Callithrix jacchus: one gene and its partner. The protein of the gene in region 2 purifies or fractionates together with the protein of the main gene of each other region. This does not show direct contact. Links are inferred from orthologs where the notes say so. Each region holds a gene or a part of one and is shown on either strand. Other genes may lie near its edges. The genes, in order: UQCC2 and UQCC1.

Region 1 (3,818 bases), on a different chromosome or scaffold from region 2:
ACATGGACCCAGGGATACAGGAGTAAATTTACACATTCAAATGAACTGCCAATAAAGTGAGTCTGCCTGGCCAAAACATCTTTACCCTCATTTTCCAGTGAGTACTGGAATAAAAGTAGGGTTAGAAGTGACAGGTAACGGCAGGTCACACCACCAGGTTTTAATCTCAGAAGAGTGTCTTCTAGAAGCCCAAATCCTCAAAACTAAGTAGCTGAAGGCTGCCATCAGAAGAAAGACACATTTCTAGATACCAGAAGGAAATGTTTCAGGGCCATGCCCTTCCAGAAAAGGTTAACCTATTTTTGCATATAATATACTTGGCAACAAAAATAGTAATTTTCCAGTACCTGCTGACCTCAGCCCTGGCTCTCCTGCCTCCCTCCTTAGGGACAATGGAGATAGGAGCAAGGAAAGGACGGGCTTGGCAGGGTGTTTCCTTTCTTGTTCATCACAGTCTATCAATGACTCGAAAACATACCTAGTTAAACTCATCTAAGCCACAGACCACGTCCCCTGGGTCAGATAACTCTTTGGCGGATATCCCCAAACACATTTATTGAATGGCTTTTTGTTTTAATTAAAACCTTCATTGTTTATAAAGCCCTCTTAGGACCATAAAAATTAAATTATTTTCCTTCCATCTTGATTTCAACTACTTCCATTTGGCAAATATGTATTCCCCTGTTCCCTGCTGCCCAGCCTTGAATTTAAAAGCACTAAAGATAGATTTCATTTTTAAATAACGCCTCTGACCTTCTCCACAGTATATGGTCAAAATGCATGAGGCCTGTAGCTTCAGAATTTCCTCTGGGCTGTTCTACAGGACTTTCCATCAAGCAAAGCTGTCTTAGACAATTCCCCTTAGCCACTCAAACTCCGAGAATCATCTGCAAAGCAATGAGAAAAGGCAGCTGTGCTTTCATTACCTGTGGACAGGATCAGCTTGTACTCTTCCAACGACAGGCCACTGAAGCTGGTTTCTCTGGGGCGAGGGTACTGGTCACAGGGGCAGAGAGGAAGAGAAGGGAGGGGAGAGATCAGCACACAAGCCCTGCTCTCTAACTGCGGTTCATTTGGGCCCTGGGCAACCAGAGGCCAGAAGAGGAGGAGGCCTAGCAAGAAGAGCAGCGCCACCTTGAGGTCAAGACTTGGCCTCGCAAGAACCAGTACAGTCTCCAGGAGGCAGCTCCCACTTCATCGTGCCCATGAGTCCTCTCTGGAAAACGCAGGTATGGGCGGGGCCCGATTCTGCATTTCTAACCAGCTCCCAGGTGATGCCCAAACTGCTGCTCATGGACCACATGTTAGTAAGTAGGATTTAGAAAAAATTCACTTTCCACATGGGCATATGGCCACATATATTTGTGGAGTTACAGAACATATTTTTCAAGTCTGGGAAAAACCACTCTGAATGGAATTTAACAGTAATCACGTTGGGGCCCAGCTCTGGAAAAGGAGGGCACATTCCCAATCATCCCATCCCCACCAGTGCGGGGAGGTGTCACTTCCATCAGAGTGGATGGGAAAATAGGTATAAAGCCAATGGCTGTCAGATACTTCCAGGGCATGCACTGGCATATCAAATACATGGCTTCTATTCAGAATTGGTTTTCTTTGTTTTTTTTTCCCTATTCCCTATATTCACAATTTTAAATAGCTTTTATTTAGATGACCTAAAAGCCTCTACCAGGCACCTCTGTTCGCTTGGTTGAAATTACTGGTTTCATTTGAAAACAGCAAACCCAATTCTTTACAAAACATTATATAATCAAGATTTTCACTCATTAGTTGTCCTGTCAGAAAGCTGGGGGTATGCAAGGTGGCCCACTCACCTTGTGTTTGTAGTAGTTTGAATGGAGTCGCGCTAAGCTCTCATACATCTGATCACAGGCCTCAGGCTCTGCAATCTGAAAAGCAAAGAATCCCCAAGGAGGTAAGCAAAGGAGTCCTGCCTCCCACAGTGTCTGTACCTTGAGGAAAGACCGTACTTAATAAGGCATTCACATGAAGCAGGCCTGCAGCTAGCACTGGCTTCCCCACTCTGTGGGAAGCAAACCTGGACTACAGCTCTGCTATTAGAAACTACTTTTTGGAGGCATAGCTCTGCCTCATCAACTCCCCAACCTGCAGAAGAATCAGATCAATTAACCAGCAAACAAGCATTTGTTGAGCATCTGTGACTTGTAAGCCACCACACCAGCTGCAGCAGGAGATGCCACAATAGAAACCTAAGGTTAGGGGTGAGCCTAACAAAGCAGGTGCTGGGTAGGGTGGGCTGCAGGGATTCAGTCGGGGAGTCCCCACATGCTCAGGTGGTCAGTGCATGAAGGAAGTTAGATGATGCAAGGTTCTGAAGAAAGGAGAGGGGTCAGCAAGCAGAAGCAAGGGCAGGCCTTCCTGGGGGAGGAGATGCCTTCAGCCAGGAAGAGGAGGCAGAAATCCTGTAGGATGCTTCAGGCCAGACCAGGAGATTCTTTTTTTTTTTAAATTGACACAGAATCTCACTCTGTCACCCAGCCAGGCTGGAGGGCAGTGGCACAATCTCGGCTCACTGCAACCTTTACCTCCCAGGTTCAAGCGATTCTCCAGCCTCTGCTTCCTGAGTAGCTGGGATTACAGACATGCACCACCACACCCAGCTAATTTTTGTATTTTTTAGTAGAGATAGGGTTTTGCCACGTTGGCCAGGCTGGTCTCGAACTCCTGACCTCAGGTGATCTGCCCACCTCGGCCTCCCAGAGTGCTGGGATAATAGGCATTAGCCACCATGCCTGGCCTTAGATCAGATTCTTTTGGGAAAGACCAAAAAAAAAAAAAAAAAATCTGAGTTTGCTGAAACTCTACAAGAAGGAAAGAAACACGAAGAAGGCAACATTTAAGATGAAATGGGTGAACTGTGGAGAACCAAGACGGGACCCCAGTTAGGTCTGCTAGAAAGGAGATGGCCCAGAACACCGAGGCCTTGCCATAGAAAGGGAGAAATAAGTAAACCTGGTGCCAGAGACAGTGGTGCCCCTGCTGGACATTCTCAGGAAGACAGGCAGCACACAGATGAGCCATGGTCTCTTCCCTTTCACACCTTTTTAAATTTTCCCTTTTCTCTGTCCTTGCTATTGTTTACATACAGTTCTTTCCCTTTACATTTTCCTGCCAAGAATTCTGAAAAGATCCCCAGAACAAAACTTTCTCTTTTACATTTTTTTCCCCAGAATTCAAATGAAGGATTTTTTCCCTAACTTAAATCCTTCCTTGGAGAAGGCAGAGCATAAATAAAGCAGTAGTAAAGCACTTTAATAAGCAGCTCCACTTCTGCTTCTCTGTGCATGTCAAATGAGGTCCCCACTTTACAGCAAACAAAAAAGACAATCCATCATTTAGTTCCACCTGATCCGTTCCTGGCTTCAGGCTACACATCATGAGAATGTTCAGCTAGATACACCAAGAGAGGAAGGATTATGGCCTAAGGAGGTGGCCAGTGTAATAATCAAAGTCATTATCTGAGTGGACAGAACGAATGGAGAAGTTTGAGGCTCGTGCCTCCTTGCTGCTGGTCAGCTCTTCCAGGGAAAGTCCAGCTAGAAAGGAATTCTGCACGCATGCTTTGGATGAACACACGTGGAACATTTCTTCAGCAGGGCATGCATAACCAAGAGCTAACACAGAAGACAGAAGGACAGGAAGCAAAAGACACAAAAGGAAAAAGAAAATTATACTGGCACAAAGTTTTCTGTGCACAACAATATTTAGTTCAAAAGAAAACTGCATTTCATCTTTTGCTTTCTTTCTTCATACTTGTGTAGATGTGCTCACATATATAC
Region 2 (3,818 bases):
ATATGTCACAGAAGCCTTCTGTGTAATTGTAATTGATGGAGAGAACAGAAAAAAATACTTTTTTCCCCTATATTACACAGCAGCTAAGACAGCAAGAAAGCATAAGAGTGAGAAAAATGAAAAAGGAACCAAAGAGGATGATTACAAAGATATTCATCAACTCAAAAATGGTAACTTTTCTCCTTCCTTGAAGGAAAACATAAAAAATAAAGGTTACTTCTGGGGAGTTAGACCAGGGTGCAGGGGGCGGTGGTGCAGGACAGATGGGACACTTGTTTTTTACACTCTTACTGTTTGATTTCTATTCTATGAGCATATGTAACTTTTATAATATGTCTATAAACTTTGTTTACTTGTCAGTCCACAGGGAGAACTTTGCCCTGTAATGAAAGAAACCAAATTAACCCATTTCATGACCCAGTCATGGTTCTACTTTGAATGCTCCCAAGCTAGGAGGCAATGAAATGAGAATTAACAGGGAACTACAAGCTACTAAAACATGATCTACGGGCTGCTAAAATACACAATAGAAACAAAGGAAGATACTATGATCTGTATAACCAAACATATTCTAGTGTTTTGGTTTCATTTCTCTATTGTCATCAGATTCCATTTGACACACACACACACACACACACACACACACACACACACTATATATTCCCCTTTCTCAGGTTAATCATTAAATGTACCAATGTACATTTTCAGTAGGTATCTTACCAGACTCTTCTAGGCTGCTAGCGATCAAGGAGCTTGATTTCAGTTCGTGAGGACAGCGCAGGCCCCTTACCAGGGCCTTCCATCAGAACGAATTTACAGGACTGTTTCAAATATTGCACTGGTGTCAAAAGTATAATATCCTGAACTGGATTATCATTTGATTCCCCCCATTCACCAAATCCATCCCTCCTATCACCATGATTTGGGCTTTAAAATCCCATCTCCATACAAGATGACTTCACACTAGCAAATCACAATAATGTGTACACATAAAGTATCTGGGGAGTATTTTCTCCACAGAGGCAGAAAAAGTGACTTTAGCTGAACTGCCACTTGATATCAGGCAGCATTTCACGGAAATCTAAAAGCAAGCCCATTTTAGAACAGATAAAATTCCAAACTCAAACCCTTCACTGGAATTGTCCAGGACCAGAATCTAACAGCATTCACTTACCCCCATGACTCTGCCACGCTGCTGAACATCCTCCCACATAAAATGAACTATGATACGACACATGTACTTCCCACTCCGGCCTTCCTGCTTCATTCGGACTAGACACATCCTGGGTGGGAAGAAGACAAAAAGAGTCACTGGCTGTTTGCCTTTTTCATATCACACATTTCCACTGAAGTTCTCCTCATGAAAGAGTGAGTTTAGCAAAGGGCACCAAATCAAACTGGAAGTGAACTTATTTTAAAAAAGAACAACAACAAAAAAAACTTTCACTGAGATATAACAAAGATACTATTAAGTGCATAAATCTTAAGTGTACAGTCTGATGAATTTTTACATATTATACATATACCCACACAAGCACCACTCAGATCAAGACACAGATTATTTAGGGCACCCCTAAAGGCTCCCTCATACCTGGAGGGAACCACATTTTGTTGTTAGAAGATAAACAAGTCTGAATCCTTCATTTTACTGATGAAAGCAGGAGTCCTAAAGAAGAAAAGTAATTTGCCCAACACCAGAATCTGTAAAACTGGGTATACAACTGTGCCGCCCAATACAGTGGCTCCCTGTGGCTATTGAGCACATTAAATATGGCTCTAGTCAAAGCTGAGATGTGGCACAAATATAAGATTTCAAAGATTAAGTTCAAGAAAGAGAATATAAAATATCTCATTCATTTTTAATACTGCTTTCACATTGAAATAATATTTCAGATATACTGGCTTACATAAAACCTATTATTAAAATTAATTTGTTACTTTTTACTTTTTCAAATGTAGATACTGGAAAATTTTAAATTACACACATGGCTTGTGTTATATTTCTGTTGGATAACACTTGTCCAGAACACAGATCACAGAAAGTAATTGTCAAATTGTTTCTCCCACTACAACGTAAGCTCCAGTGAAGATAAAGATCAAGTCTGGTTTCTGTCAACATTTTATTTGCAGGGCTTAAGTACAGTAGGCACTCAATATACACTTGCTGAATAAATAAATGAATAAACACCACAGGGCCAAGTTTAGGGCCCTAGACCATATTGCCTTTAGTCAGGTCAAAGGGCTTTCTGCTCAAGACCTCACATAATCTAAACGTATAAGAATTATATTTTATTATATATAAGAATATAAGCAGCATCCCTAACTTTTTATAATTGTTTCTAATCTCATGACCATTATTCATTCTTTTTTGTTTGTTTTCTCCTTTTTGAGACAGGGTCTCATTCTGTCACCCAGGCAGGAGTGCAGTGGCACAAGCACAGCTCACTGTAGCCTCAACCTCCTGGGCTTAAAGGAGCCTCCTGCCTCAGCTTCCTGTGTAGCTGGGATCACAGGTGTGCACCAACAAGCCCAGCTAATTTTTTATTTCTTTGTAAAGACAGAGTCTCACTTTGTTGCCCAGGCAGGTCTCAAAGTCCTGGGCTCAAGACTTCCTCCCACTTCAGCCTCTCAAAGTGCTGGGATTACAGGTGTGAGCCACTGTGACTGGAACACCATACTTATTTTTACTGTCTTTCATTAAATAGCTTAGTAAGCAGCTACAATAGGATTACTCACCTAAAAGACAATGCCTGTCATAATTATGAAACAGTTGATTCAACCTGACAATTCTACCTCCATACATAATTGATCTTGCCAATTAAAATCCACCAGCAATGGTACAATGAAATGATTACAGCTTGGCCTGTTTCAACATCTCTGTTAATAACTAAGATGGAGAAAATAAAACATATTTATCAAATTTGCAGCTGACAAGAAGCTGGGCAGGAGAACAAATGTGCTAGATGACCCAAACATGAACCAAAAATACTTCAATAGATTGAATCTAACAAGATCAACTTAGCAGGGATAAATTCAGGATCCTGTATCTGGGTCTAAAAGAACAACTGTAAGAGTACAACACAGATGAGTCACGTACCTATGTGTGAAAAGCCTTACATGCTTAAGTTGACATTATATGCTCAGTAGGAATCAAGAGGATAACAATGTTGCCCTCCAAATTAATGTGATTTTAGATACATGCAAATATAGTATCGTCCATGTGTAAAGTGAGACTTTTGTTCTACTCAGCACAAACCAGAACCTATTTGGAATACTATCCACAGTTTTGAACATTATTTTTTAAATTTTTTTATTTTTTCCTTTCAGTGTTATCAAATGAACATTATATTTTAAGAGATAGGAGGACCAGATGTATCTTAAGAAGACCAAAAGATATTTAACCTGGAAAAAAGAGGAAAGTTGCCTTAGACATTGTAAAAAAGTGATTAAACTGTTTACCAAAGAGAATCAGGCCAGGCCTAGTAGCTCACACCTATAATCCGGCATTTGGGAGGCCAAGGCAGGAAGATCACTTGAGCCCAGATGTTTGAGACCAACACAGTGGGACCCCTATCTCTATGAAAAATATAAAAATTAGTCAGGTGTCATGACGTGTACCTGTAGTCCCAGCTACTCAGGAGGCTGAGGCAAGAGGATCCCTGGAGGACAAAAGGTCAAGGCTGCAGTGAGCCATGATGGTACCACTGAACTCCAGCCTGGGCTATGGAGTGAGACCCTGACTCAACAAACAAACAAAACCTAAGAGTCAGAATCAGAACCAATGGGCAGGCCTTAGAGGGAGAAAGATTTACTCGTCA

Evidence for each region.
Region 1: the proteins of UQCC1 (region 2) and UQCC2 purify together in Homo sapiens (co-immunoprecipitation; 3 studies listed by BioGRID and IntAct, counting the BioPlex papers as one, with this or other methods). This does not show direct contact. The link is inferred for Callithrix jacchus from reciprocal best matches to the Homo sapiens genes UQCC1 and UQCC2.

The regions. Positions count from the first base shown.
Region 1 is NC_133505.1:41,993,832-41,997,649, forward strand, and holds part of UQCC2 (ubiquinol-cytochrome c reductase complex assembly factor 2), read right to left. Parts: intron 1,908-3,818; coding exon 1,833-1,907; intron 997-1,832; coding exon 927-996; intron 1-926.
Region 2 is NC_133506.1:3,967,612-3,971,429, reverse strand, and holds part of UQCC1 (ubiquinol-cytochrome c reductase complex assembly factor 1), read right to left. Parts: intron 1,284-3,818; coding exon 1,175-1,283; intron 1-1,174. UniProt on the Homo sapiens protein: Required for the assembly of the ubiquinol-cytochrome c reductase complex (mitochondrial respiratory chain complex III or cytochrome b-c1 complex). Involved in cytochrome b translation and/or stability.